Linked DNA regions of Rhinolophus ferrumequinum. The protein of the gene in region 4 interacts with the protein of the main gene of each other region in a pairwise test. Links are inferred from orthologs where the notes say so. Each region holds a gene or a part of one and is shown on either strand. Other genes may lie near its edges. The genes, in order: TCHP, PKN1, TXLNA and CDR2.

What was found.
Region 1: the proteins of CDR2 (region 4) and TCHP interact in binary tests that used the Homo sapiens proteins (3 or more experiments, as listed by UniProt). The two-hybrid records come from large-scale screens. The link is inferred for Rhinolophus ferrumequinum from reciprocal best matches to the Homo sapiens genes CDR2 and TCHP.
Region 2: the proteins of CDR2 (region 4) and PKN1 interact in binary tests that used the Homo sapiens proteins (3 or more experiments, as listed by UniProt). The link is inferred for Rhinolophus ferrumequinum from reciprocal best matches to the Homo sapiens genes CDR2 and PKN1.
Region 3: the proteins of CDR2 (region 4) and TXLNA interact in binary tests that used the Homo sapiens proteins (3 or more experiments, as listed by UniProt). The two-hybrid records come from large-scale screens. The link is inferred for Rhinolophus ferrumequinum from reciprocal best matches to the Homo sapiens genes CDR2 and TXLNA.

Annotation. Positions count from the first base shown.
Region 1 is NC_046308.1:13,785,030-13,793,044, forward strand, and holds the start of TCHP (trichoplein keratin filament-binding protein), read right to left. Parts: upstream 3,006-8,015; 5' UTR 2,846-3,005; intron 1,599-2,845; coding exon 1,405-1,598; intron 609-1,404; coding exon 398-608; intron 1-397. UniProt on the Homo sapiens protein: Tumor suppressor which has the ability to inhibit cell growth and be pro-apoptotic during cell stress. Inhibits cell growth in bladder and prostate cancer cells by a down-regulation of HSPB1 by inhibiting its phosphorylation.
Region 2 is NC_046301.1:47,690,832-47,698,230, reverse strand, and holds the start of PKN1 (serine/threonine-protein kinase N1), read left to right. Parts: upstream 1-4,397; 5' UTR 4,398-4,605; coding exon of another isoform or gene 4,606-4,626; intron 4,627-5,623; 5' UTR 5,624-5,631; coding exon 5,632-5,688; intron 5,689-7,399. UniProt on the Homo sapiens protein: PKC-related serine/threonine-protein kinase involved in various processes such as regulation of the intermediate filaments of the actin cytoskeleton, cell migration, tumor cell invasion and transcription regulation.
Region 3 is NC_046292.1:22,081,856-22,089,871, forward strand, and holds the start of TXLNA (alpha-taxilin), read left to right. Parts: upstream 1-5,014; 5' UTR 5,015-5,032; intron 5,033-5,259; exon of another isoform or gene 5,260-5,555; 5' UTR 5,556-5,587; coding exon 5,588-5,765; intron 5,766-6,362; coding exon 6,363-6,725; intron 6,726-8,016. UniProt on the Homo sapiens protein: May be involved in intracellular vesicle traffic and potentially in calcium-dependent exocytosis in neuroendocrine cells.
Region 4 is NW_022680357.1:16,828,309-16,835,748, reverse strand, and holds the start of CDR2 (cerebellar degeneration-related protein 2), read left to right. Parts: upstream 1-4,430; 5' UTR 4,431-4,733; coding exon 4,734-4,809; intron 4,810-6,526; exon of another isoform or gene 6,527-6,889; intron 6,890-7,017; exon of another isoform or gene 7,018-7,188; intron 7,189-7,440.

The DNA.
Region 1 (8,015 bases), on a different chromosome or scaffold from region 4:
GCCAGACACCTGCGTGGGACCGGATGGCACTGACAAATGACGCTTACAATGGTGACAGAAACGGGGCAAAATCGGATGCTACAGATCTATTTCACAATGTACAGCAGGCTTAAAAACACAGACTGGGGTTCGCCATTCCACACCACCACTCTGGAAGATAAAATATAGCAGTCCTGGGCTAAAGAAAAAGGACTTGGCTGTAATGATTTAAAGGGCCACAGAGAATAAAGATGACTCCTGCAAAACACACACGTGAAGAATGACTTCAGACTAAGCAGTTTTCCCAGCTGGTTTTGCAGTTAACTGCTGTCTCATCAGACCAGAGCGTTCCGGGGTGACCCACATGTGTGTGTCACTGACAGGCTGGGGAACGCTCCTAAGGGCGATGAGAACTTACCAGTTTCCTTTGCTCTTCCCGGGCTGACTTGAGATTCCCGTGCCGTTCCCGGATTCTTCTTTCCCGCAAGTTCATGCTCAGCCTTAGCTCCTCCAGTTCTCTGGCCAGCAGGTCCTGCTCCTCCAGCAGAAGCTGCTGGAGTTTCTCCCGTCTGGCCTCCAGATGCTTCCTCTTCTCCTCCTTCATCTTCTCACGCTGGTAGGCATGCATGCTGGGTGAGAAGGAGCCCACCATAAATCAGTCACACGACAGTCATATGGACCAGTCTGCTCTGCTGTGTGGGTAAAGAGGCTGAGGTGGGTATAATATAACATAGTGACACAGGAAAAGGTCTTCCAGCCAAAGGGAACAGAGCAGGTCACAGAACACCATGCATAACAGAACCTTGCTTTTGCAATAAGAAAACGTATAATCGCTTATAGTGATCATGTACTAGAGAATATTATTTGTACCAACTAAAACCATGAATGGTTTTATATGAATCATCACGTAAATCCTACAAAGTAGGTTCTGTTTCAGCCCCACTTTACTGATGAGGAAACTGAGGCTCATTCATGCGGCAAGTGACACAGAATTTCCATCTAGGTCTGTCTGACTCCAAAGCCTCTGCTTTTAACTCCCATATTTTTACACATCTTTTTATAAAAATGGGTGTGTGTGTGTGCGTCTGTTTATACACAAACACAAATGAGAAAAAGTGTGGGAGGATATGCATCAGGCTGGTAACTGTGGTTCCCTCTGGGGACGTGGGGTTACAAGATTTCCAGATTCTATATACATTTCTGATCATTTTCTTTTTCAGTGCAAATGGAGTACTGCACTGGTGCTCAGTTTTTCAATTTCCAGTTAGAAAAGCATCACCAGACAGGCAATCCATGCTGTCCAGCAACTCCTTCGAGAAAACATGCTGTCAAGCCAGACTCCCCCAGGTCCTTAAGGCCACATTCCCTGAGCGGCAAGCGGCTGCCTGCTCCCATGCAGTCGCGGCCCCCGCACCGCACCGTTACCTCCGCTGGTAGGACGTCTTGGAGCTCCATTCTGCCTGTTTGGAGCTGCAGATGTCAGACATCCTGAAGTAGCGGCTGTTCTCATCCCACTGCTGCCGAAGCCGCGCCTGCTGCTCTTGGTGCCGCTGTCGTGCTACCTGCTGGTCCAGGAGCCTCCGGCTGCACCAGTAGGAGGGCAGCGTGGGCAGTGCCATCTGAGAACGGCAATGGTAGGAAAATGAGCCGGCTGCCACCCCAGGACCCCTCACAAGCTTGGCCTCCCCCCTTTAGGAAGAAGTCCTCACCCCTGGGCTACACACTGGAATCACCTGACGGAACCTCGGCCCCACTCCAAACCAATGAAATCCAGCAAGTCTGAACGTAGGCCCCAGACATCAGCCCTGTTTTAATGATTTGCCATCAGGGCTGCAAATCATCGGTTTTAAATAAGCCTGGACTGCACCTGGCTGTGTGTCGTACGTCATCAAGGGCACTGCAGACAGACAGACAGAACCAGTCCTAGCAATGGAGACCAGGCACATTGGGGGTTTGTATGCTCTGCATAAAGTAACGGATAATAATTTAAGGAACATATGTACCAAGCTCTTGATATATATGACCTTTTTTATTACAATCACTCCATTATTTGGCAGGGGAGGAAACTTAAGTTCAAAGAGGTAATGTGACTTGCCCAAGACCACAAAACCAGGAAGTAGAGGAAATAAGAAAGGGGGGATCCTAAACCACGCAGGGTCCAAGCTCTGATGATTGCAAGAGGCATTCCCTGGCTTTGGCCGCCCCCAGGGAGGGACCTAGTCCTGGTGTCACACCTGGAAGTGTTCTGGGTTGGCATGAAGGGCAGATCCCTCATCTTACATACGGAGAAACTGTGACCCAGAGAGGAGTTGATTTTCCCAGGTCACATAGCAATCTGGGGACACAACTGGAGACTTGAAAGCAGAGTGGTCTCACTCCGGACTTCTTTTCCCCGACCCAAAAGCTGCCCCCTCCCGCCCCCGTGTTTAGGGTCTACCCAGTGCCAGGCTATGACAGTGCTTAAGGAACGTCTGTTGAATAAGCAGAAGACCTGGGTCCAGGCCAATCTCAAATTCAGAGTCATCCAGACCTGGGGGAAATAATCTGCGTCTGTGAGCCAAGTTTAGTCTGCGGCTGGCCTCTTTATAATCTGTCTTGAGGCTGGAAGGCTTGACATGCTTTTTTCCTTGCCCTGCAAGCTGCCCGTGGAGAAATCTTTGCACCAGGAGTTAAGAAATTTAAGATTCCGGTCCCGGATCGGCCACAAGCAAGCTGGGCTGCTCCCTGAACAAGTCGTATCCCTCTCGCGGCCTCAACATCCACACAGGACGAGGGGTCACAGAGGAAAGAGACGGGACTCAGAGCGCGGTGAGGCAGAGGGAAGACAGGAAGACCGGCCCCCGGCTCAGCCTCAGCTCCGACTCACGTTTCTCTACGCCCCGAAGTCCGCAGAGCGCCCGGCCCGAGCTCCCGCATGCCACAACCAAGCCCGCTTGTCCCGCGGCCACCCTCCCGGGCCGCGCTAACCCAAGCCCGCCGTTTCCCTGCTCGTCGCCCGAGCGACAGGACGGCGACGGAACGCCGCCAGGGCCAAGCCGACTCCAGCGCGACCCCGATGGCACAGAAAGGAAGCTGCTTTTTTTTCTCTGGCGCCCCCTCGTGGTGGGCGGGAGGTAAATCGCAAATATCGCTTGTCCTGGAAGCGAAGGATGAAGGAAGAAGAAGCCATTCACTACACAAAATTCAGGATGGTGGTCATCTGGGGTGGATAAACATAAGGATGGAGGGAGTCAGGGGGATACAGGAGGGGAGGAGAATATAAGCCAGTGGTTCTCAAACCTGGCTGCACGTTAGAATCACCTGGGGAGGACTTAAAAATCCAGATGCCTTAAAAAAAGTCCAGAAGCCCAGCCCAAACTCGAAGCAAATCGCGTCAGTCTCTCTGAGAGCATTAGTGGTTGCCTAAGCTCCCCAGGAGTGTTCAATGTGCAACCAACTGCAAGAACCCCTGGTGTAAGTAGGTACAAATTACTGGTAACTTCCTACTGTGTTAGATGGGTTGTAGGTTCGTGTTCATTCTATCAGTATATTTTATGACTCACATGTGTTACATGTATTATTTTATGTCTCAACTATTCCATTAAAAAGATAATGAAAAATGTCCACTCTTTCATTCATTCTCTTTTCTTTCACTTTCCCATTCTTCTCTTCATTTTTTCTTTCCCTTTCTCTGTTTTTCCTGAATGCAGTATAGTATCCTGTTGAACGTCATGGCTGGCCTCTGTTCAACCTCTACCACAGTAGTTGTATAGAGGTCTTGTGTAGGTCATGTCATTTCTCAGCATCCTCATTTGTGAAATAAGAATGCTAAATTAATTAAACAAGGGGACCATTCGATGGCGGTGGCTCTAATGCCTCTGTTGCTTATGCAGGCAAACTAAAAGCAAAGCCAGAATCCGTGCTCTCGAATCCAAGAAAATTAAATTTAAGAACAACCAATCACAACCAGCCAAATAAGCTTTCCCAAATAAGGCAACTGCTTAAACAAGCCAATCAAATAATGTCCTTGCTTTTTTCCTGTTTCTTCTTCTCTATAAACACCTCTCCTCTAGCTCCTAACCACCTTTGGGTGTTGCCCAGGTTGAATTGATGTATGCTCAAATAAACTCTTGAAAATGTTTATGTGCCTCAGTTTACTTTTTAACAAGGTACCAACAGTGTTGCTTTCTAGGGTTGCCCTTGTGAGAGGAAATGAAGGTTTAAATGGAGAGCGAGCGCCCAGAAGCAGAGCACCTGGTGCATCTCAGGTAAGCGCACTTTCTTTCCCATCTCCCTTTACGTGGCACATGTTTTCTCAGGGTCTGCCCTGAGTGCATGAGACTCCCCAGAGTTACCCTCCTAATGGTCCCTACCCCTTTGGCTAAACTCACCTCCACTTTTTCATATTGTGTCCCCAATGGGCAGGGGAGGCAGCCACCCCTCCCCTGGGATCAGCCCAGGCAGAGCTGCCCACCCACCAAGAGAGCCCAATACATAAATAATCATTGGTGGGATTCCCCAAGTGTGGTAGGAACTTCAGAAATATGTGAATTGGGTCAGGAGAGACCTGGCTTCAGGTCCTGATTTTGCAACTCTTGCGTGATGCCCTTCTCCTCTCTGGGCCTCAGTTTCTTAATCTGTATAATGGCCTTAAAGGACCAAACATGCTCCACTGGTGGGAGTCAAGTGCCTAGGGCTTGACTGGCCTGGTCCTAGAAGCCCAAGGCTGCAGGCCATAGCCTCTGAGCCTCTTCTGCTGGATGGCCATCATTACTGGCCCCCCACTGTTCAACTTCTCACCTTATGATTACACAGCTGCCTGTAGCTCATCAAGCATCTTGTTGTTGTTGTGTGTGTGGTTTTTTTTTTTTTTTACAGATCCTGCTTCAGGTTTATTTGTACAAATAGCACAGGAGGACACCAGCCCCATGCAGACAGCAGCGCAGGGGTCCCACCAGTCCTTTCGTCCTCATATCAGCAGTCAGACGCTTCTACTCTGCAGTCTTCATGGGAGCCTGGGTACCTTTGGGAGCCGGAGCCTGAGCTGGAGGTGGAGCTGCAGCTGCAGCCACGGCCGGGGGCCTTGGTTTGAACCTTGGCCTTGGATTTTGGCCGTCAGAGCCCAAGACCCTTGGCGATGCAGGCACAAGCACGGTTCCCAAGCATGGGGTGGGCGATGTAGGCAAGTCGACTGAGCTTGCGGCTGCCGCCCTTTGGGATCTTGGGCTTGACCTCGTCGGGCTTTACGAGGGCCTTGAAGCCTCAGCCAGTGCACTCACGGCCTTGGTGTTGGTGGTCTGCGTCTTCTTCAGGCCCTTCTTGTTGTGCTTTCTGGCAAAGCGCATGTTCCTCAGGAACTTGGAGCCCACCCCTTCAGAGATTCGTATCTTTGTGATCAGGGTTTCTTAATGCTGCTTCTGTGCCATTCTCGGGACTGGTTGTACTTGGTGTGGTTCTTGGACTTGGCCATGTCTGCACTGAAGCGCGCGGCTGCTGCCGAAGCCCCTGGGACTGGAAGAGAGTCGTCAATCATCTTTACAGGTATCTTTTCCTTTGTTCCTCTCAGGAACGCTGTGAGATATTTTATTGTCCCCATTTCCGAGTTGCTTAAACCGAGCCTCGGATGGGTGGTATCACCTGCCCAAGGAACCACAACTTGTAGGTGGCAGAGCCAAGATTTAAACCCAGGTCTCATCTGAGGGCTGGGCCCTCTCGGCAGCATAAGGGATCATTACCTTCCCTGCTGTTGTCCCAGCGCCTGCCACAGAGTAGGCACTCAATAAATATTTGTTGAGAATGAATGAGTAGATTCCTCCACCTTTGAGTCCCTCTCCTCCTTCTCCAAAAGAAAAAGGAAGAGATGGTATTGAAAGAAATAAAAAAGAATGACAACAAGGAACTAACATTGTTTGACTACTGACCACGTGCCAACGCTCCCTCCGCCCTGTGGAGATTTCTGCCTCCATTTTGCAGATGAGGAAACTGAGACACTGGGAGGTCAAGCGACTCTCTTGAGGTCACACAGCAAGGACTACAAGAGCAGGATTCACACCCATCCTCCGGAGCTTGTGACTCTCTCCTCTCTCTGCTTTTCCAGGAGCGTGTGGCTTGCAGGTGTAGCTCTTAAAAGAGGCCCCTAGACGTGGACCAGATGGGACATATAAAGAGTTCAGCAAGATTAAATATTTAGTGACAGGTTGATGACAAAGGCCCACAGGGGGCTGAGGGAGGAAGCACTGGCAGGAAACCATCCAGGTGGACGCTGTGCACACTGGGCCCTGGGCCCGCACACATTTATGAGGGTCTGTTTTTGGACTTGTATCTTTGGGTGTCCTAGTGTGGGAGGAGAAAACAGGAATGGGGAGATGGCATGATAACACGGAGCAACTCCCCATTAACTGAAATGTGACAGCACCGGAGGCTGTGCAATGCCCTCACTTAATTAGCAGGTGGCATCACCAAGGTGCATTCATCTCTGCTGGGTTTACATAGCGTTTCAACACCAGCCTTCTCCCCTGGGTGGGGCTCCTACCCTCCCCGAAGACAAAGAATGCAGAAGTAGACAGACGAGTTCAAAGACCCTGGGGGTATGGGGCTGCCTCTCAGAGCTCCAATTTTGTGTTTTCATAGTAATAATATCAGGAATTATAAGAAATGTAGGTATTCCATGAGAAACAAGTGTGAAAAGGCAGTCACCAAAATAGTGGCTATTACTAAGGGGCAGGATTAGGGGAGATTTTAATTTTTATCTCTCTCTCGGGTTTTAATTTTGCGATGGTCACTGTTACTTGTGTCATTAAAAAGAAAAATAGTGCCTTGTTGATCAATCATCACAACCTGCATTTCCATCAGGTTTTATACTTTGCCAGGTGCCTTCAATGCATGCGTGGCTCTCAAGCCTGGCTGCAGGTCTGAATCACCTAGAGGGCTTCTAAAACATCCTGATGCTTGGTCCCCAAGATAGAGGTTCTGATTTAATTGGTCAGGGATGGGGCCTGGGCATCTGTATTTTTAAATTAATGTTTTATTTTAGACTCGCTTTACATTCAAAGAAAAAATTGCAAAGGTAGTACAGAGAGGTCCCATATACTTTGCACCAATTTCCCATTAAGAACACCCTGTGTACATTATGTACTTCTGTAGGACAGAAACCTGACTTGGGTCTCAAGGGGTTCAGTCCAAGGTGTCAGCAGGGCTGCATTCCTTTCTGGAGACTCTCTGGAGAATCGGTTTCTTTGCCTTTGGGGCTTTTTGAGGCTCCCTCTGACCGTTCTTCCTTAGTTAGTCACATCTGCTTGGACCACAGATGGGGAAAGCTTCTCCACTTTTAAGGATTCATGCACCCAACTGGATAACTCAGGTTAACATCTCCATCTCTGGGTTTTTAACCTTAATCACATCTGCAAAACCCCTTTTACCATGTCAGGTAATATATTCACAGGTTCTGGGATTAGGAGGCCGACATCTTTGGAGGTCACTGTTTTATCTACCACTGGAGAAAAGGGGGACATGCCCTTCGTCGTGATTAACTTTTAGTTCTTGTCATTCGGTTTTATTTGTTTTTGTTTTTTTCCACCTGGACGCTGTGGCATCCCTCCAAGCACTCCTGGCCTATGGCACTCACCTCATCTGTCCCAATGTGGAGGTCATCACCTTGAAAGAAACTTGTACAGGTAAGCCGGCCCTCTTCCAGTGTGTGGCTGGGACCTCCCACTGCACCTTCATTGGAGCCTCTTCTGTAAATCAGGTGAGCTCTTCAGACCTTATTCTGACAGGCCTGCTTCTATATACAGAGGAAGCTGGACAATGGAATTCTGTTCTAGAACCTTCCATTCAGAGTCCTCATGTAGCTCAGCCTGCTTCCAACTGCTGGAATATATTTATCTGATGGAATGGCACTAACTTTTTTTGGTATTCATATTATCTTTCAAGGCCAGCCTGATATGAAGAAAGGAACCTCCGTTTAGCTCCAAATTATTTCATATCTGAGCTTCAGTTTTCTCATCTGTACAATAAGGATAACAGTACCAGTTTGTTATTAACAGCGTTAACCAGTG
Region 2 (7,399 bases), on a different chromosome or scaffold from region 4:
CACCCTGGGATACCACTAGAAATAAAAAGGAATAAGCTAATGATATACACGACATGATGGACAAATCTCAAAAACATCATGTTCATTGTGAATTACTAAAAATCACTAGATGGCACACTTAAGAAGAGTGATTTATATGGTATGTGAATTTTATTTCAATAGAAGACAAAACATGTTGAAAGAATCCAGACATGAAAAATCCAGACATAAAATCATAAAATGATTCCATGCAGTGTGAAATTCAAGAAGAGGCAAAATTAATCTATGGTGATATGGTAGAATCCAAAGGACAAGGTAGCCTGAGAAAGGACACAAGTAAAATTTACGTAGCTGGGGAGTAGACTAGGTCATGGCCACGGGTGTATTGCTCGTATATAAAAATTCACGGAGCCTCACACCAAAATATCTGTGTACTTTACCATAGGTAAACTGTACCTCAATCAAAATAATAATTAAAATAAAAGACATAACACATTATAGTTAAAGTGGAAATCACCTGTGTTCACCTCCCCAACTCCATTCCCCTCCCAAATCGCATAAACATCCTCAATAAAAATGAGATTGAACAATGACAGCACCCCAATTCTGTGATTTATAAGAATTCATTTAAGCTTCTCAGCAACCGTCTGAGGCATCGTGTTTCCCCGAAAATAAGACCTAGCCAGACCATCAGCTCTTCTGCGTCTTTTGGAGCAAAAATTAATATAAGACCCAGTCTTATTTTATAAAATAATTTTTGCTCCAAAAGACGCAGTAAAGCTGATGGTCCGGCTAGGTCTTATTTTCAGGGAAACACGGTAGGTGCTGCTATTATCATCCCCTTTTACAGATGAAGAAACTGAGGCACAGAGCAGTGAAGTAACTGGGTCTGGGTCTCACTGTTAGTGTGTGGTAGTGCCAGGATTTGAACCCAGGTAGCCTGACCCTCCTCAGCCGGGATGCCAGGCACACTACAATCACACTACTCCATACATTACCACAGACTTGATAGTTTCACATTCTGTGTTTTTTTTTTAGTAATTGATATCAACAGTTTCAAACTGTATCATTTTTTCTACTTGCTTTTTTATCCTACTCAAGGAGGTGTTTTTGACTCTGTTGACACATTTAGTTCTGGTGTCAGATAAATCTACTCCCATTTCTTTCTTTGGCCCCTACTGGTGGAGACTTGGTTTGCAAAGAGCTTTATGTTTGGAAAAACAATCCTCTTTCAGTTTCTCCCCTGCTAAGAATCTATCAGTGGCTCCCACAGTTCTCAGGGTCAAGTCTGAACTCCATATCCACCATCTGCAACATCTGGAGCCTGCCCTCCATTCCAGGTTCATCAGCACCAGAAACCCTAGCCATGCCCTATGATGCCAGGTTTATTCACCCATTTGTTCATCCAGCCGCTCTTTATTGAGCATCTTTTCTGTACTAGGAGCCAGAGACCCAGCAGTAAACAAGACAGATAATGATCCCTAGCCTCTGGGAGCTGACACCTTCCTGGTCAAGACAAATCAGAAAGAAAATACTAGAGTCAAATTTGCAACAAAAATCAAGTTATGCCAGGGGTAGCGTTTGGTAGGGAGGGTAGGGCTTGTTTTAGGTGGAGATGCAGTCAGGGAAGACATTTGAGTAAACATAGAAATGAACGGAGGAAGAGAATGCCAAGATGAGGAGAAGTATTGCAGAAATGGCCAGCATAAAGGCCTTGAGGCAGGAATAAGCATGTTTGAGGAGCAGTGAAGAGGCTGTGAGGCCAGAGAGGAGTGAGTGAGGGGTGATGAGGGCAGAGGAATCAGGACATGCCAGGTTCTCCCTCACCTCTAGGCCTTTGCTTCTGCTGTTCCTTCCACCAGACGCCCTTTTCCTCTTTACCCACTTTGAAAATTCCCAATTTGTCTTTCACAACTTAACTTCATTGCCATCCTTTCTGCCTCCTCCACAGTAGGGTGGCTGCCTCCTCAAAGCCACCACAGGCCTGGAATACCTTTCTCCTGACATCTTACACTGTGTCCACTCACTCATTCCACAAAGACTGAACGAGCATAGGCCAGACACTGGGCAATTTCAGAAAGTTACATTTAAAATAAATAAAACAGGGCCACGAGCCAGATATGACAGGGCATGGAGGTATTCTGGGAAGTTCTCAGAGGAGGGGACATTTAAACAGAAATCTAAATGATAAAGAAAGGCCAGCCTTGAGGATGTGATGGAAGGGCATTCCAAACCAGGGAACAGCCAGTGCAAAGGCCCTGAGTTTGGAAGGTAAGAATATTTGGGGAAGAGAGAGAAGGCCAGTGTTGCTGAATGGCGGTGTGTTGGTGAGGGGTGTGGTGGGGATGTGGCTGGACAGGTAGGCAGAGAGCTGACAGGACCACCTTGTAGCCCAGGTGAGGGTTCGGAAGTTTTTCCTAAGAGCTCCAGCCAGCTGGGAACAGGTTTTCCAGCAGGTAGAGGTAGGAGACGGGGTATGATTTAGGGTTTCCAAGGCCCCAGAGCAGATTGGAGAGGAGCCAGAGCAGCTGCAGTTATCATATCTGGTTGAAATTGTACAATTAGTCCTTCGTCTCCAAGTTTCAAGCCTGGAGGGTGACTCTGTTTCCAGTGCCACCAATGTCCCCAGCGGGCATTGATAAATAGTCGCTGAGTAAACGAATGCCGGAAGGTTGGAGTGAGAATTTGGCAGGTGTCCCCAGCTCCATCCGGGAAGGCAGCCTGGAACCTGGCAGGCAGCAGAGGGCCCATCCCTGGACTGGGTGGCCCAGTCTTGGGCTGGCTCAGATCCTTACTCTGCCACATCCTCCCATCTGTAAAATGGGTAAGGCTAGAATTAGAGGAAGACACCCTATTCCTCAGGGCAAGGGCCATAAACATCCTGGCTCCATAACTGGGATTAGGGTATTTTCTTTGAGCCTCAGTTTCCTCACCTGTAAATTTGGAGCAAAAGAACTCTGTCAAAAGGGTTATTTCATTGAATCTATAAATATTCAAGGAACAGCCAGGAGGCCAATGTGGCTGGAGGAAGTGAGCAAGTAAGTGGGAGGTGGGAGGAGAGGGGAAAGTTGAAGGGGGTCGTGCTTAGGACTTTGGCTTTTACTCTGAAGGTGTGAGCCATAGAGGATTCTAGGCAGAGGAGGGATGTGAGTTGACACAGGTGTTCACAGGGGCACTTGGCCTGTTGTGGGGGAAAACAGACTATGAGGCTGAAGGCAGAGCTGAAAGACTTGGGAGGAGGCGACTGCACTGGTCCAGGTGAAGGAAGACTGCAATTGGATCCCGTGGGGGCCTTGGGAGGGGAGAGAAATGGGCAGATTCTGGATTGGTATAATTTCTCCTTCTCCTTCTCTTTATTTCTCTGTTAACCCCCTCCACCAAGAGTCGCACAAAGGAAAAAGGGAAAGAGAAAACATCGTGCCCTGGTCTCTGGGACAACGCAAACCACGCACAGCCATGAGACACCAAGGAACCCGCAGCTCCCTGCACTTTGGTGGATCCCAGGAGGGCGCCAGAGTGCAGGCAACGCCGCAAGGGAGCGCTTCCCGCCCCGCGCCCCAGGGACTGCGGTTTGGTCCAGTCACCCGCTTGAAAGGGAGTCTTGAGGTGGGCCACGAGCCAAGCTGCACACTCCAGAGACTCTCGGAGACCCTTGAGAGGCCTCCACCCTCTGCCTCCGCATTTATGGAGCAGGAGTCTGCATTTATGGAGCACTATTTGCATACAGCAGCCCAAAGAAGAGGCTGATCCCCATTTTACAGCGAGGAAAACTGAGGCTCAGCAGCCACAGGATCCATGTGGCCCACAGCGAGTCAGTGATGGAGTTGCTATTCAACCTCCTTTTCATAACGGCAATAATAAAAATGACAGCTAACACTGATCGAGCGCTTACCGTATCGAGCACTAGGTCTGCAGTATCTTATTTTATCAACACTTGAGGGGTGAGCAGGTAAATTCTGTTTCATAGACGAGGCGCTCTTAGGGGTTTGGGGCTCCCCCCAAGGCATGAGGCGCTGGGATTTGAACCCAGATCTACCCAGAGCTTGTCTATAGGCAATGGGGAAGTTCCCGTGCCCTTTAACCCGGGTCCCGTAGGCCGAATGGGTCTAGAGGGCCTGAGTTTCCAAATACAGAGAGAGAAATTGGTTTTTGAGGGGTCCCAGGAGGCCCAAATGCCTCCGCTACTCCCTGCTTTAACCGGGCTCACTCTTTTCGGGTTCCCGCGCTCTCAATTGGGGTACCTCTGTACAGAGTGCGGATCCAGAAGGGCGCGGGGAGCAAACGAGGTACTGGTGGCTGCGGAGAGGGGCCGCCCGGCAGGCGGGACCCCGCAGCCCCGGGGGCCGCTGGGAGACCCGCCCCTTGGCCCCGCCCCCTCCCCGGGCGCCGACCTCGGCGGTCACGTGACGGGCCCGGCGGCCGCTGGGGCCGGAGGGCGAGGCGCGCGGGCGCGGCGGCCAGGCCAGGCAGGGTCGGAGCCTAGCAGGCCGGAGCGGCCCGCACGCCGGGCCTGGGTCTCGCCGTGCCCGCCCCCTTCCCTCCCTCCACGCCCCACACGGGGCGCACGCGCGCTCCTCCAGCCGCCCCTCCCTCCGCGCGGGGACCCCTGGCGGGTGGCGAGAGGACATGGCCAGCGACGCTGTGCAGGTAGGTGCACCTGCGTCCGCAAAGCTCCATGGCCGCCCGTCACCGGGGAACCCCGCCCGCGCGCTTCTGGGGTCCCCAGACGCCAGGGCGGGGGGGGGGCCTCCGGAGCGCCCTGTACTCCTTCCCGGGGCCGGCACCGTGGAGCCCCAGCACGGCCCACTTCTCGGCAGGTGGAGGTACTCACGGTGGGGAGCGGGGAGGTCCCGGAATCCCCCGAGCACCATGAAGCTCCGCCCCTCCCCGACAATTCGGGGGGACGCAGCGGAGGCGCGACTTCGGGTCTCTGAGGCTGGTTGTGCGTCCCGGTGCCTGTTGCCCCCGACACTCGCCCCCCCCTCAGCGTTCGGTTCCCGGCAGGTGCCGTTCCACCTGGTGCAGGTGCCTGGCACGGTGCCTCAGGAGGCGAGGAGGCCGCCCGGCCCGTGCCCTTCCCCCGCACAACAAAGCTCCAGCGGTCCCCGCCTCCAGACTGAGCTTTATGAGGGTCGACGCCACCCAGATTGGCACCTGTTGGCGGAAATGCCCGAGTCACCTCATTAGGTCTGGGGACGGGGGATCCACACGGCCACCCTCCGGGCTGTCAGGTGGAACCCGATCCCAGTTGGGGAGTGTCTGGGTCAATAGGCTGGGGATTCTCTCGGCCCTGGAATCCTACCTGGGCATGGGTGGCACGCGGGGTCAGCCCCTTCTCCCCCATACACATACACATACACAGGTACAGGTGACTGGTGCAAACCTGCCGCCCAGCCAGATTCTCCCTGTGCCACCTTGTGGACATTACAGTCCTAAACTCATCTCCCCTGGCTATGACAAGCAGGGCTAGGGTGACTTCTGACCTTTGGTTCAGTGACCCAAATCTGATACCTGTCCTGTGCCCACTTAGTACCTCACTATCCCTCCATTGTCCTGTGGTGCTGTGTAACCGGGATCTCATCTCCTTCTGCACCTGCTCTCCATCCCCTCTGTCTCCCCCATGTCCCCCTGTACCCCACCCCAGTCCTGCTGATGGCCTGCCAGCCTTGCCGAGGAGCTGGGCGTATCTGGTGTTGCAGATCACACAAGGTCAGACCTTGGGGCTGGGGAGGGCCAGGGTTCCTTTCTCTCCCCCCAGTCATGGGAGGGCTTTGTAGGAATCCCCCAGTGCATGCATGTGCTTGGTATGTACCAGACCTGACCCTGATGGAGGCTGTGATTCCTGGAACGAGGCTGGACCTGTGCCCTGGTTTTCCTTCCTATCTCTTACCCTCTTCCCTCCCTTCTCCCGTCCTGGTTATTCCTTTCTTGTGGCTGCTTGGGCTTGCCACTCTGTCCCTCTGTCCCAACGTGTGCCTGTCTGTTCTGTGTCCGGCAAGCGGATGTCCTGTCCAGATTCCGGAAACGCCCAAAGCATTGAAATCTCCGGACATGGGGGTCTAGATCCCTGGCTGCACTTGGAAACGGGGGTTTCTGGGAGGTGGGCCCTCTGAACCTGGGTCTCCTGCTCCACAGTGAGAGGTGGCGGGGAGCAGGGATTCTCCAAGGCTGGACCAGGCCTCTGATTCATAGGTTCATCCTGCTGGCCCACTGGTGACCTCTGCCCCCTGGGTAGGAGTGAGTCACTCCAGGGAGGAAAACCCAGGAGGCCAGGCTTCCCTCCATCCTGTGTTCGGCATATTCTCAGGCCTCAGCTGCTAGAGATGCAGCCGAAGGCGCCTGCTCCTCCTCTCTGCCTGGACCCCCATTTGAGCTGGCCCTGCTCCTGGCTGTACACCCCTGCTCTGCCTGCTGGGGACGGGGTGGGCCTGGGCAGTGGGCAGGGCCTGGTTGGGAGCGAGTAGTATTAGAAGACCCTGGGTTTAAATTCTAGCGCTGTCACTTCCTCACTGTGTGTCCTGGGCCCGGTGCCTTTGCCTCTCTGAGCCTCAGTTCTGACAGCAAAAAAATGGGACTAAGAGGGTGTTCATGGTCGTGAGGATGTAGACCCGGCAAGTGCTCTGCAGGCAGGACTGCCATGAAATCTTTACTGGTGGTCATGGTCAGCAGCCTAGGGTGTGAGTTTGTGTCCTTCAACCCAGGGTTTCTCCACACTATTGACATTCAGGGCTGAATCATTCTTTGAGGTGGGGACTGTCCTGTGCACTGTAGATTTTTGAGCAGCATCCCTGGTCTCAACCCACTAGATGCCAATAGCACCCCCTCCCCACCCCCAGTTGTGACAACAAAAAATATTTCTTTATCTTGCCAAATGTCCCCAGAGGTGAGCAGGTGTTGAAAATTGCTTATTTTTCCTCTCTGAGTCTCAGTTTCCTCACCTGTAAAGTAGGGGAGAATAATGGCAACTGCTCAACATTAAAGTAAGGGGTTGGTAGGATTGGGGGAGGTGAGGCCCTTGGCCTGCAGTAAACCCTCCCTGGGGGCAGCTGCCCTCAAGGTTGGTCAGGAGCAAGGAAGACTTACTTCATCTGTGAAATGGGTTCTTGCAATTTGAGGAGAGGGCCTGACAACCTAGCCTGCACTTGGATTCTGGGCACTCCTGTTTAAATCCTGGTTCTGCTTCTTGCTGGCTGTAGGACCTTGGGGCAAGTTATGACACTGTTCTGGGCCTCAGTTTCCTCATCTTGAAAATGGGGTGATAATAGCACTCGCCTCGTGGACTTAATTAGTTGACCTGGATGCAGTTTGGAGTAACTGCTGTTATTACTAGTCATACTTGAGCTTTAGAGGGCTGCTAGTTTGCTGGTCTCCAGTGCTGTGGGTCATGGTGTGGGTCTCAGGGAGGTCCCTAACCCAGCCT
Region 3 (8,016 bases), on a different chromosome or scaffold from region 4:
GGTGCAGTCAAGGGCTTTCTGGTAGATTTCTGAATGCTGTTACAGGGATGCAGGGGCTGCCAGCCTGCTATAGGGAATAGCCTGATAAGATGTTTTTGAATCTTCATATGTTGGCACAGGGCTAGTATATCCATTTTAAGATCTGTGGTGGGAGTGGAGGTATCTAGGTGTGGATTAAGGGGACAAGGAGCCTTTTTCTTAGCTAAAGTGTTCAACTACTGTTTTAAACAGTGCCAGCTATTCTTTTTTGCCAGTCTCTCTGGGCATCTCATCCCTAAATCATCTCCTTCAATACTAACAGGGTCTCTGGTCTTAGAAGCCTGCCTTCATTTCTGAGCTCTCCCCAGTGATTGCCTGGCCTTGGTGTTGGCTGCACCTTCTGGTAGAACCACATGGGTACCACCCTCAGCTGGCTATCCTGGATACTTGGGGCATTGGGTACAAATGATCCTTTCAAGAAGCAGGTATTGATGACCTCAGCTTTCAGGGACCCTTGATGGTCCCCCTTAGCTAGGACCTTTAGATCTACTCCTTCTACTCTCTTTGCGCTGGAAGCCACTTTCCAGGAGCCCAATTTTTGGAGCTGAACTGCACAGATTGTAGCTCCTATTATACTTAGTCAGGGAGAGCAAAAGAAGGCGCTCAGGCACAGACTTTATTTCTTTCAAGCCAAACCAGCTTAAAATGAAAACCGTCTACAGAATGAAATGGATTTCCATTTTCTTGTGTCTACCTGCTTCCCCCCCTGTATCCTAGAGTTACTCCTGTTTCTAGCAAACTAGTAAGGGAAGGGCATAAATGCCTAGCAATACTTCCCTCATTCCATATAACCCCCTTTGAATGCCTCAGCTCGTATGTTCAGGCCACATCTCTTCTCCTCAAGACTCAACTTGGTATCCATCATCTTGGGTGTTCCTCTGTAGATTCATCTTGTAGGCTCAGATTCTGGATTCTCCAGGTCCCTATAGGCACTACAGGGACCCGGAGGGAAAGCAGGCTGGCTGGGGGCCTCAGGAATGTGTGTTACTGTCTGCCTCCCTGGCAGTCTGGGAAAGGGTGCAAGGCTCAGTGCACTGAACCATAGGAAATGCTCATAAGCAATGGCAACATCTTCCAGGTAGGACTATCCTAGAAGTGAGTGTGAGACTGAGAAATCGCTCAGAGTTAGGTTTCTTCCACAGCCGTTTTAGGATTCTAGACCAATCTTGTTCAGTATTTTTTCTGTGTCTTAACTTTTGGATTCTTTTGTTAAGCCAACAAGCTGAGAACTAGCTGCTCTTTGGCCAAGGCCTTTATAAATGATTCAGTCATCCGGTTGTCTACCCCCCAACCCCACCTCCAGATTAAGACCATAGCACGGGAAGAATTTGAGGTCAGTACCAACCAAGTCTGTGAATTAAAGCTGTTACTTTTCCTCAGAGGGCATTTTGCATCATGCCTGGGCTATTTACAGAACCAAAACTAGGTATGAGAGAAGAGGCAGCATTAAATTTGGGGCCCAGAACACCCCAAGACAAAGGTTTGTGTAGTGTGTTATAAAGGTCTTCAGTGAGTTTGGGCCTACCTCGCTACTTCTGGGCCAGCCTGACTGATGTCCATATTAGCACATACCTGAACCCCTCAGCTAAATGCTAGCCCTGCTCCCACGTGTAGGTCAGATTTTCAGCCCCTGGGTTTGGGAAAAGCAAATCCTGCCATGCCCTGGGGGCAGTGAAGGAAGTCAAAGGTCATATCCGGAGACTGGCTGGGAACCTCTGACTCAGAATGGCCTTAAAGAGTCCACCTCTCTGAGAACCCTCAAGCCTTGTAGTTGGGTATGGGCTCTTTTAGCCCACTTTTGGGGGAATTGCCTTTGACTGAACCACTAAAGCAAAGGGGATAGGAGGTCCCAGCCACCCAATACAAACCAGATGTCCCTCAAAAATAGCTTGGGTTTCCAGCTACCGATCTTAGGAAGGTGAATCAAACCAATTTTCCTCACTGGTTTTTCTTTGCAGTTCATTTGCTCTTAGTTTTCCAAGAACTATAAACTCTGACTATTTTCCAAGTTCTCAGGGCCCCTGGGTAGACAGACAAAGCTTGATTTCAGAGCAGACATAGGCCAAGAAACCGAGGCATTGAGTGTGCTGAGTCCAGACAAATGATATTTATATACACATCCAAATTTGAAGAGAAAATGTTATTTCTTTAGGTTTCAAACACTGTAATAGATATAAAGCAAAAATAAAAACCTGTTGCAAAGTTCTAAAGCGTCGTCTCTGGAATGATCCTAGACTGGACTTTTCGGAAGTGAACAAAGAAAGTGTTTAAACTTGGGGCCTAACAGTGGAATGAGGAATTGCAACAGCCTGCTCCTGCTATAAAGACATCTTTAAAAATCACCTTTATTGAAATACAATGACATACAGTAAATGGCACATATTTAAAATGTGCAGTTTGGTAAGTTTTGACATATACCCATGAAATCATCACAATTAAGATAGTGAACATATCCATCTAGAAGTTTCTGCATGCCCCTTAGGAATTTCTCCTCCTCACCCAACCCCCAGCAACTACTGATCTGAGTTCTGTTTAGTTTGTATTTTCTAGAGTTTTTTCTAAAGGATTTGACATCATTTCATCACCACTCCACAGCCCTTTGAGCCCTTGAAGGTCATACAGCTCACAGACTACTCACTTTGGTTTAGGTCAATTCCTAAAGCAGAGATTACAGACAAGCAGCCAAAAAGCTGACTCAACATAAAAGGAGGATTTTGGTTGGCAGACAGTGTGTTTTAAGTATTAATTCACTGCCAACATTTTAAGAAATAAAGATATATCCTGAAAAATATCTGGCACTACTGGGCTTGAGTTTCTGCTTGAAAACAATCTGTAAGAGGTCTGTTTTACCATCATCACCACCATTCCCAATGGTGTCCCTGACTAGTTGACTGGCAGGTGCTAATACTGTTGCTATTTTATAGCAAAAGTAGAAATTGACTTTTTAACCCATGTTTATCAAATTGTTACTGCTTGCCTGCCTGCTCCACTCTTTACCCAGCTGGCCCCTGTAGGGCCACTGTTGATCCTTCTTGTTACACTACCCCTCCAAGCGTACCTTGTTCTTGCTTATTACGTTCTTTATCTCTGCCTAGAACACCTTCCTATGGAAATCCATCAAGGCTTGATTTGTATGTTACCTCAACAGATTTCCAACATGCTTTTCTGGAAATAAATCAGGCCTTGGTTTCGTGAGACTTGGATTCCAAACTTTTCTGGCCTTGAGTTTCACCATTATACCAAATTGCCTCTCAATGTTACCTGGTAAAAGGTGAATTTGTGCTGCCTAAGGAAAGGGGGAAGAGCACTACTCTGGTATCTCTAATTGGGAAAAATACTTAACATCTTAAGAGCCCTAAAACAATGCTGAGTTTGCACAATTAAAACATTCTCTTCCCTCACCCCCAAAACCCTAGGCTTTAGGATGAGAGAATTTAGCCAACAGTCAGAGGTTCATTGATTTGTAAGCAAATAATTTCAACACTTTACTAATGCTGTAATAGAACTCTAACCAGTAATAAGGAGCTAGGACAGGCTGCAGAGCATAGGGCAGGCTCTAAAGAGACCTTTGAGCTGGGCCTCAAAAGATTTTGTTTTTGCCATAAGGGCATTTTGGAAGCTGGAATAGCACCTGCAAAATCCTGGGAAATGCAGGCAATAGTGAAAGTATTTCTAGAGCAAAAAACAGGCAGAGGGAATGGGCAGGATTGTCTGGAAACAAGCCAAACTATGTAGGCATTAAATCCCAAGCACATGGGTTGTTGGTTTTTATTCCATTATCTATAGGCAATTCGATAAAGAATTGGGATCTCGCATTTGAAAAATTTGGCTTGTTTCCCCTTTAGCTCCAGTGCAACAGAGACTCTGTAGAGAGTAGGCCAGTGATAAAAAGGGCTCAGGAATCTGCTAAGGCTAAACTTGCCCTTGCAGGGCCCCCTCAGCCCCTGCCCAAGAGGGGCTCATGCTGGTAATGAAGAGGGGAAAAAAATACAACCCACTTTAACAAGTTGCCTTGACTTATCCTCAGAGAAAGTGTGTCATGATGGTTATTTCTTCTGGGTAAGAGGCCGGGTAGGTCCAGTAGTTAAGATGGGTGCTGGTGCCAGACTTCCTGCTCTAACCACTGTTAGCAGCTGTAAAATGGAAATAAGACATAGTACTTACCTTGATGAGTACTTAGGATCAAGATAGTAGATACAGCAGTGGCCAGTTAGCTCAGTTTGTTAGAGCGCAATGCTCTTAATGACAAGGTTTCAGGTTCGATCCCCACATGGGCCACTAACCTGCGCCCTCCACAACTAGACTGAAAGAACTACTTGACTTGGAGCTGATGGGTCCTGGAAAAACACACTTAAAATAAATTTTAAAAGTTTAAAAAAAATGTAGATACCGGGAAAGCACACCTTAAGCGTTCAAAGAACTGCTGTTGTTATTAAAAGCTTCTATTTGAACGTGGAAATCGAGGTTCTGGGAGAGAAAAGAATGTCCCGCAAATCAGTGATGAAGTTAGGACTGCAATACAGGTCTCCAGGTTCCCAGCCCAGAATTCTGGCGGGAAGGGTTGGAGGCGTGCAAGAAACAACAGCCAGGAGTAAACCTTTCGGAGCTGAATCATAGCTTCTGCGCGACAGAAAGGAGATTGACGTGGGTACGTATACAGAATGACTGGCTCCTTTCGAACCTGAGTATCCGGCTCCTAGGACTAAAGCCCTTTATATTGCATCTTGGGAGTTGGAGTCAGCCCTGCTGCATAAAGGGACTTGTAGTCCTTTCCCTCCCCCGCTTTCCCAACTCACCCGCCTCAGGGGCCCCTTCGCTATATCTTTCCCAGCAAGCCTCGCGAGAGTGCCGGCTATTGATTGGCTGCGGCGAGCAGGCAGCTCTGCCGGCAGCGGTTACCCAGGGTTTCCGGTGTGAGGCCAGAGCGGGCGAAGCTGTGCGGACGGCGTTGGGGTGGGTACCGCGGCGCCTAGCGGGACCAGGCGATCAGCGGGTCTGTAGACCTGGGCGCTTTCGGCCAGTGAGGGGAATCACACAGACTCCGCGCGAGGGCGAGGGCCGGGGAACAGCTAAGGCCTGTGCGCATGCGCCGGCGGGCGGTTCGCGCGCGGCCGGAGAGCGCGCGGGGTGTGGGTGGCTGTGCGCGCGCGGAGCCGGGAGGAGGGGGGTGCCCACGTGGGGCCTAGGGCGCAGAGGAGGGAACCGGAATCGAGCGTCCCGCCACGTCAGTCTGCGGCGGGGAGCCTATCCCGCGCTCCGCCTGTGGTGAGGTGGACGCGTTGTGCCGGGAAGAGGCTTCAAGAAAAAGGAGGCCTCCCCTGGAGCAGCTCCTCAAAAACCTGCCAGGGCACCCCAGGCTCCCCTGACTGGCCAGAGACAGGGAGAACCGTTGACTCCCTCTGGTGAACGCCAGCCAGTTTGTTTATAGGAAGCTTTGTGCACCCGGTGTTGGGATTTCTGATCCAGGCTGAGAAGAATTTTGAAGTCTGGAAAATAGCAAGTGTCTTGTTTTATAGGATCTGCTCCTCACCTAGCATTGCGAGCCACAATGAAGAATCAAGACAAAAAGAACGGGGCTGCCAAGCCAGCAGGCAGCACTTCCAACCCAAAAAGCAACCCAGGGCAAGCGGAAGCCGGACCAGAGGGAGCCCCGGGGCTGCCCAGCCAGGCAGCCTGTGCAACAGAAACTGAAGGTGCCACCAGCCAGACTCCAGGGAAGACGGAGGGTGTGTGCCAGCTCTCGGTTTCCAGCGGGGAGGGAGAGGAGTTTGTGGTGCGGCCAGTGTAGCTGCTGGAGTTAGAGGCCACTGTTGACTCAGAAAGAAGGAAGTGGAATGAGGGGACCACAGTGCTGAGTCTCTGGGATCCCCAGTGTCCTGGGGAGTTGGGAGAGCCTTCCACTCTTAAGCGCAGACACAGAACTCTTTCGAGGCGGCTCTGACAGGATTAAATCGGGTGGCAAGCAGATGAAACACCCAGCCAGCACATCCAGATTAGAAACACCTCATTCACCAGTGGGTAACTGCTTTCTATACTTGAGGCATTTCTGGAAGGTTTTTAGTAGCAAGAAGTGACTTTTTCGGGGAAGAGAAGATGACCTAGACATTGAGCTCCTGCTACATGCCATCTGCATGTGCTGAATGTTTTACTTGGTTTCTTTTATACTCGTAACAGACATGGTTGGGTGGTAGTGAGAAGTAGTCATATCATTTTATAGGTAAATAAACTGCGGCTTAAAGAAGTTAGGCAACATTTCACCCAAACCAGTAAGTTTGGGCCTGAAAAACGCAACCAGTGGTGTAACCATCTTATTTCTCACTCAGCCCCTTCATCCTCTGCTGCTTTAGGAGTACAAGCCAAAACCTCTCCGTCTGGGGCCCTCCGTGATGTCTCTGAGGAGCTGAGCCGCCAGTTGGAGGACATCCTGAGTACATACTGTGTGGACAACAATCAGGGGGGCCCAGGTGAGAATGGGGCACAGGGTGAGCCTGCTGAACCCGAAGATGCAGACAAGTCCCGCACCTATGCCTCGAGGAATGGGGAGCCTGAGCCAGAGACCCCAGTAGTCAATGGTGAGAAGGAGACCTGCAAGGGAGAGCCAGGCACAGACGAGATCCGGGCAAGTGATGAGGTTGGAGACCGAGACCACCGAAGGCCACAAGAAAAGAAGAAAGCCAAGGGTCTGGGTGAGCAGAGGGAAGCTACTCGTGATGCTGTTGAGGGGAGGGAGTTTGGACCCGAGATTCCCTGGGCTAGCCTACTCTGCTAGGATGCAGAGGAAACTACTTCCCAGGGCTTAATCAGTGCCAGGGCTGTAGGGCCATAGCATAGAGGTGTGCAGGTGGTTCACTGCACAAGGGCTTCTGGCCTTGGGAGCAAGTGGGAACCGAAATTCAATCTGCTGGGTGGACTCCTGTGCCAGCCAGCCAGCCTGCACGGTTTCTAACCTGTTGTGTTGGGCAAGGCCTTTCTCCTCTCCAGTCCTTTGTTGTCACAGTAGAGAATTGGGCTAGACCAGGGTTGAAAACACAAACAAGCCAAGTTAGTCAGGGGCCTCGTGAGGACGAAGAGAGTGCCTCCTTCATCCAAAGGGTTGACTGTCACCTGGTCCCAGCAAGTTGATAGCATGTAAAACTACAGCCTAATTCTAGCCAGAGTCCCAGCCCCCTTTTTTTTAAGCTAGAAATCTAGAATTACACGCAACTAATATGCTAGGAATCAAACAAAACCCATCTGTGGGTTGGATTTGGCCTGTGTGCTAGTGATTTGCAGTCTCCACATTGGTCTCTTGGAGCCTCCTAGGGCTGCCACTTCAGAAGCCTGGTGCTGTGCTATGTACGGTGGCTCTCTAGGGAGGCAAGGAAGATTCTGACTCAGGCACAGGCAGTGCAGGAGAGTCTTGGCTGAAGGTGGGAATGGGGGCGGCTAGTGTGTGTTAAAAAATCAAAGTCCGGTGGTATTATACCCTTAGCCCCTACTCCCGTATCCCCTAACTGTCATCCTAACTTAAACAAGGTTATTTTGTTTGTTTTTAATCTTAGGATCAAATATCGGGAGGTACATTCATTTTAAAGTTCACTGTTTTGCTACCTCTGTTGGTGAGAGTTTAGTAGTCCTCAAGGAAACCTTTTCCTTTTTGCATCCTTCCTCTATCAGAAGGGCCCTCTTTGCATTGAAACAGTAACACTGAATTCACAGGTGGCCACCTTTTTCTCACCTGTTGGAAGAGCAGGCAGTTTTGCGTTTTTTGTTTCTCCCACTCCTGGTGCTCACCAAGGAGATTCCACAGAGATTCAACCATTTATTTAATAAGTATTTGTTGAGCGTGTCCTCCGTGCTGGGCACCAGAGCAAGTACTGGGCCACAATAATAGGCAGAACTGAGTTGGTCCCAGCCCTCATGAAGCACACAGATTAGCAGGGAAGGCAGCCAGTTCAACAGACAGAAATATAAAGTGTGATAGGGGAGGGCTGCCTC
Region 4 (7,440 bases):
TACCCAAGGCCATGAACTGAGTGATAGTTTGTGAATACCACGGGATTTCCCGAGACACAGAATATCTTAATAATGAGGCTGCTTGTTCCACGTAAGTGAATTTCCCGAATCACCAAGCTTAGCCTTTAAACTCTAAAGCTTTTATGCGTTAAGTGGCAATCTCTTACAAATCTCCTTGCCCTCCCACAGAGGATCTTGGACGTGGCTAACCTTTTCTTAACACTTAATTCTTCAGCTGTGTGAAGAATCGGCTCTTGGGAAAATCACAACAATGCACAACTGTGAAAGAGAGAAACACTGTCTCAGGTGAAAGGACAGGTAAGGGCTCACCCCACTGGGCGTGGTGAAAAGCCACTTCTGAAATCTTGTACAGATGCAGAAAACGCTCCACGCAGTAGAAGCGGAAGACAGAATTTAGCATTTTAGTCCCTAATGTTATTGTAGAATATGCCCAAGAATGGGATTGGTACTTAAAAGTGGCATTTTCCATGCAGAGGAATTCTTCTTCCTTTTGTTTAAAAAAAAAAAAAAAAAGGAAAATGGTTAAAATTCACTGTTTCCATGCGATGGGTGGCAAAATTCCACTGGACACTAGTTAATTTTAGTTAAATGAGTCCAAATCTCCTCGCTGTGAATATGTAATGATTTAACACTTTACTTTCCTATCTACTCACTCAACACTTTTTGAGATGTTGCCGGGAACTCTAATTTCATAGAGTATGACCGTACGTGAATATATTTTTACTATTTCTTCTAACTTATAAACATGAGATTTATCCAAGAGTTTGGGCACGCTTAACTCGAGGCCAGGGAGATGCACTTATGGCATTATTACCCTCCCTACCTGGGAGAGTGCGCTAGAAAAAAGAACAATGAGGTGACATCCTTTAGCTAAAGCCAAAGAGAAGGAATTGAAGCAAACCCCTCCTGTTAGTATTATAGTATTACATACTTGCATTGGAAGAGTCAGTCTTTTTTTTCTCCTGACAGACTATGTAACTTTGGCCCAAGGGACATACCTAAAATGGACGTAGAAAAAACCCATTTTGATCCTCACTTGATGTAAACGTCCCTCTTAAATCTGGCCTACTGTCTTACCCTTTCAGTGACTTGATTTACCACAGTGGAAAACAGGAAAGGGTTAGCCAAGCTAGAGGTAGGTATAGATTCATCTTCCTTTTAATCTTGATGATAGTTTTAAGATAACGCCATGATTTTCCTGTTTTATCCGGCCGTACTGGAATATTCGGCCAGGTCTCCACAATCTCACTGAATCAGAAAACACAAATATTCAGCTACCTTGAGAGACGTAACTTGCCTAAATGATGCTTGAGAATTAAGCTGACACTGCCGTCTGTATTGCCCAATTTCTTAGGGAAGGAAGGGCACATGAGAGATCAAATTAAGTCCCTGAGCTTCATTTTGCATTGGGAGGATCCAAGAATGATTCCAATTCTATAGGAAGTGGGGCCCTAGAATTGTAAAAGGGGTTGCTAAACCCCTATGCAGACCAAGTATTGTCTGCAGACTGAACACAGAATGTTTTGCCCATGTGTACTTGGATTCTTATAATGTTTGCAGATACTGCTGTAATGAGGGAATACAAATCTGAATGTTTGTGGCTTTTTTTGTCATTATGCTCAAAGCACTTGAAAAATAGAAGTATTATCGTGTGGAAGGCAGCCAACAATTCTCAAATTTGAAAACGCGGGGAACTACTGGTGAAACCCTCACCCTCAAGAGTCATTTTTGGCATACGTGAGATGCAGATTGAGGCTAGAGGTCACTGGGTTACTAAGAGAGCTCAAAACAAGGGAGTCAGAAACACCAGAAGCCAAGATACACATTTAGCCCACCAAAATCTGGACACTTCTTTTCCTTTATTTCAGGCGTGTTAAAACAAGAAGCATGTGCCACGCCTTCTGAATTGCTCTACCATTAAGTCAGAAGGCAGCTATTTATAAAGTCAGAATTTTGCAAAAGGTCAGAAGTTTGCTGAGTTGAGAGCAAATTTTTCAAAAAGAATTTGAGTTAAGCAGGCATCCTGTCTGAAACATATGAATATAAGGTTTTTAAAACATTAAGAAAACATTTGTTTACATACCGGGGATGCCAAAAAAATGTATAAATGTGGACACTGGTCAACGTGGTTCAAGCAGTAGTTTGCTGTCATCAGAAGTGTCTGGACGCTGATGGGAACCACTTTGAGCACCTCTTGCAATTGCAGAAGTCAAACGTGACTTGTATTCTTTTGTTATCGGTATATATTATAATTTTAATAGTTTTCTTAAAATGTATATACATTTTTTTGGCATCCTCTGTATATTGAGAGGAGGAAGCGAACTTTTCCTTATTTCTATCTGCAAAAGAGCTCTCAGTATTTTGCTTTAGATTACTGTCATCATAGTAAATACTTATTTCAGTAAGTGTCACACTGAAAATCACCACTTAAAATTTCTTTAAAAGCCACCACTATTATCTAAAGTCTCTCCTTACACAATTTTAGTATAGCAACAAAACACCCAAGAACCAGAATATTACATCTTTACAACTCGGAACGAAGGACTTCTGGTTCCTTTTTACCACAAACTGTTTTATACAGAGGAGTTTAAAAGTACCCAAATGGTGTCACGATTAGGCTGAGCCAGTGAATTGTTAAACAAAAGCCCAAAGCCTCCTTTTAGAATCAACTTGGGTTGTTCTTCACTGGCCTACTACTAAACCAAATGCTATTAATGTTGCTAAAGAACCTGCTTTGATAACTTCCAAACTATGCCTACTTAGATTCTAAAAGAATGCCAGAGACTCCTCCAAGGTAAGGCTTTCAGCACTGAAAGCTAACATCTCTTTTTCGATGCAATTTTGTTTTTTTTCCAGGGGAAAAAACCTCAAGTTTCCCCAAATAGTGTCCTTAAAAAGAACCCACTTCAAATATATGGTGATGGAAGGAGAACTGACTGCGTGGTGAACACAAAATGGGATTTATAGATGATGTAATACAGAATTGTACACCTGAAATCTATGTAACTTTACTAACAATTGTCACCCCAATAAACTTTAATTAAAAAAAAAAAAAGAACCCACTAATACCGAAAGGCATAAAGCCTGGCTTTTTATTCTGTGCCCTTTTAAATTATCAATGACTTTAATTCTCCAGATCACTCTCTCTGAAGGAAAATATAAAAGAACGTTTCAGTACACTTTCCCATTTGATTTGGAGTCCAAATGAGCTATGTGCCATGGAGAAAAATGCCAGCATTTTCAATCTTGCGCATCAGTGACCAGGGAAGCCAAGTCTCCTGAAGGTCAAATGCATGACGCTCAACCTTTCAGCTTCCGCAAATCACCATCAGCAAATCCTAAATCCAATATCCTCGCTTTCCAAAAAGCTCTGTCTGTGGTGATTTACTTTGAAATTAAGACGGTTTGAAGTTATTTCCTTTTGACTCGGGACCGATACCTGTATCAGGATATGGACAAGCAGGCCATTGGGGCTTTACACTGAACCAAGCTATCTTCGTTTTTAGCCCAGCAATAAAACGTGGATGACTAACATTTTGCCTTTCAGTACACCAGCATTCAGCAGAAAAGAATTTGTGAGTTTACCATTCCTTTTTCTTTTTTATATTCCTCCCACATTTGTTGGCTGGCATTCTACTCTGAGAGAGAGGACTGCATTCGCTTCCCTCCAGGTACAAGGTCATGACCCTAGAGGCATAACTGGTGGTCCATGGACATTTCAAAACTCGCACGCAAAACTGCTCGCAATGTGTTTCTAAGGAGATAGCTTCAACTGCACCCCTTCCCGCTCGCAAGTTCCCCAGTGGGTCTGGAGCCCGCTGTTTTGGGGGAGTTGAGTGCAATTCCCTGCGGGTTGGAGGTGAGAAGGGCGCAGAGGTCAAGGAGAAAACGGCTGGCGGTCCCCACGGCCCGACCAACCCTTAATTTCCGCGCATCAACGAGAGGGCCCCGGGGGGTCCAAAGACCAGAAAGGGTCACAGGGCCGCGCGCCTCGGGCTCCCGGCACCCTTCGCGCCCCGGCCTGCACGAGGGACGCCCAGCGACACCAGCCCAGGCCCGCAGGCCGGACTCCCACCCTCACGCCCACACAACCTGACCACGGGCTGGCTGTCCCCGCGGCCACACACCCACCACAGGCGCCGCGGAGGCCGCCACCTCCACACCCCGGCACTGGAGCGCGCTCCCAGAAGCCACCCAACGCAGGAGAGGGCGGGGCCTCCGGCCGCACCCCTTCCCTTTTCCCCGCCTTCTTTGTTTCCTCCGGAGTGGCCATTGGCTGCTTGCCCACGAGACCGGGCGAACCGCGGGCCTGCGGGAAGACGCCATTGGGCGACGTCGCTGCTCCTCGGCCGGCGACCCGCTCGCGATTGGCGGAGGCGCCGCCCGGGGTTTGAATGCAGCCCCCGTCGGGGAGCTTGCTGCCAAAGTGCCACGTTGGGTGCCGCTGCTGCGCGAGGAGCCGGCTCCGGGCGCCGGCCGGGGTGCTCGCGCCGGGTTGCCGGCCATCGGGGCCGTTGGGCCTCAGGACGCGAGTCAGAAAGCCGGTCCGCGGCAGCGGCGGTGCTCGGGCGGCTCTGGACCGGCGGCGTGGCGGCGCGTCCCGCCCGAGGGCGGCTCTGGCTGAGGACGGAGGAACCGGCGGGGAGCCCGGGGCAGCGGCCGAGGCGGGACGGCGGCAGCGGGCGCCGCTGCCCCCGGGAGAGCCGGCCGAGATGCTGGCGGAAAGCGTGGTGGAGGAGTTCGAGGTGGAGGAAGAGCCGTGGTACGACAATCGGGACCTCCAGCAAGGTGAGAGCGCGGGCGGCCGGCGGGCGGCCAGGCCCCGGAGGCTTCCGGCGGCGAACCTCTTAAAAAGTTGCTTGTGCTCGTGGCCCACGGATGCCAGGTGCGGGCGAAGCGCGGCGTCCACCTGGCGTGGGGACCCGCCGCACCTGCGCGTCCCGCCCCGGAGGCGGGCTCGGCGCGGGCCGAGGCTGCTGCGCAGGTATCGGCAGCATCACGCGTGCGGAGGGCTAGCTCTGCGCCCGCACGGGCTGCAGGGAGTCCTCCCCGCATTGCTCCGCGGCGCGGGTGGGAGTTGCTGCAGGTGGCCGGGGGAGCAGAGCGCTCCGGCAGGACCCGTGCCCAGCCCTGGGCCCACCTGTGATCCGCACAATAGCTCTGCGCGAGGTAGCTTTTGTTAACCCCACTTTCCGGAGGAGGAAAACGGAGGCCAGAGCGGCCAAGTGACTTCCCTTGCGTTAGGAGTGGGAGCGTGTTTGAACCCACACACTCAGAAGGAGGAACCACAGCCGCTACCCAAACCCTGGCTTTTCGTTACCAGCCGCTTTACAGCTTCTTCAGTTGGGTGTTCGACTGTTGGGCGGAAAAATTGCTTCTGCATCCTTCACCTGAGGCCCTGAAATGACTGAAGGGCATTTCTACCTCGACCCCTTCCTTCCCTTAGAAACAGGCACTCCTATCTGAACCTGCCTTGGATTTCTTGCTGATTGATGGTGTCTCTAGAGAAAATCGTTGGACAGTCCTCACTTTGCAGCCTCCCTATAAGGCCCCCCTTTACTGCACATGAGTAGCAGGAGCTTGAAATTGGGGAGCGCTTTTTGGGGGCCACTGACAGGCCCTTTAACACAGCTGCTCATTTAATCTCAACAACTATGGAGGTAGAAAGGAAGATACTGTTATTGGAGCTAGGATCCCACTTCAAACTCCAGAGCAAACTTTCTTAACCACTATTCTGAAGAATCCTCAGGAATTTTTTTTTCAGGCATCTTCCGTTTCTGCAATTCTGTGTACATCGACGTTTTCAACTCTCCACTTGCAGTGACAATTAACATTTCATCTAGTTGAATATTAAATGACCATGATGTTTGTTCATGCTAACCATTGAACTGGGGGGGCGGGAAGGAATGTAAACTTGAATTACTCATATTTAGAAAAGGGAAATAAAACAAGTACATCTTTTGGGGGAAGGTGATTTCTTAAATCAACATGCTGTGTGGACAGTCACTTAAACCAAAGTAGTTCACCATTACGCTTGCTTAAATGGTGTAAGCTACTTAGCAGCTGCAGTGCAGTATTTGCCATCACATTTTCCATGTCCACAAGACACATTTGTCTTACATTTTAACAAGCCTGTTTTCAGTTTGATATTTTCTCTAGGATTAATGTGAGAACCACTGTACAACTGCAACATTTCCTTATAACAAATTAAGCAGTTCGTATGGTCATAGCTAAATATTTTTCTTTCCTGCATTTAAGAAACATAGATCTGTACAGGCTTGTTTTGTTTTTGAATCTGGTGGAATCCTTGGCACATAACAGAAGCTTGATTTTAATATTTGTTGACCTGAACTGAAGCACTCGCAGAGGGTTACTGTTTTCATTGCTCTCTTCTATCAGGTCCCTCAGTCCACAAGGCATTTGCCCTGTGGGAAGTTGTTAGGAAGATTCATTTGTAATGTTTCAATCTACTGAGAAGCAAATGCAACTTGTTGGGGTTACTAACCTCTGGGCAAAAGGAAGTCATCAGGTGTTCAACTTCAATGAGATCTTAACGAACACGGGTCCAAACCTCCTTAATGCCAGTTTGCGTTTGGAATTTGTTCTGTGTTTCTTCTCAAAGGACTTTTACGTCCGTATCACGATGGACTTTGACATAACTCTCTATGTCATAACCAAGTGTGTCGGGTAGGAATAGACTGGAAATTCCACACAAACAGTTTGCATTTGGAATTTGTTCTGTGCTTCTTCTCAAAGGACTTTTCCATCCATATCACGATGGACTTAGACATAACGCTCTATGTCATAACCAAGTGTGTTGGGTAGGAATAGACAGGAAATTCCAACAATCATAACTTGTGAATAAGGCCTGTAAAAGAAAGAAGGATACAGTGTGAATAAAAGGATGATCTTTGTCCCAATTTTGTTAAATTGTGTCTTAAAGAACTCCTAAACTTCTAACGGATTTTAAAATTTGTTAATTTCTCAAATACTTACCAACTCTATGCCAGGTACAGATCCAGGCCCTGGGGCCACAGTCCCTACCCACAGATAGGACAGGCAGGATCCCACAGCAAAGTGAAATGGAGGGTCTAGGAATCTGTTGACGAGAGAGGCCTAGAGACGCTGCCTCCTGGTCTGTGCCCACCTCTGCCTGGCACATGGTAGGCCCTCAATAGATATTTGTTGCTGAATAAAGTTTGGGAGCAGCAGGTCTGCCCTCTTAAATATTTCGATAAGCAAATTAGTGGGATTTTATCAAGTGCAGACAGACATCTGTTCATTTTTAACATCCTCACAGGCATATGCCTCATTTTAGTGCATTTGCTTTGTTCTATTGCGCCTTAGAGGTGGTGGGCTTATTTTTGGTGGTGGTTTTTTGTTTTTAAATGGAAGGCAAGACTCTCCACCAGCAAAAAG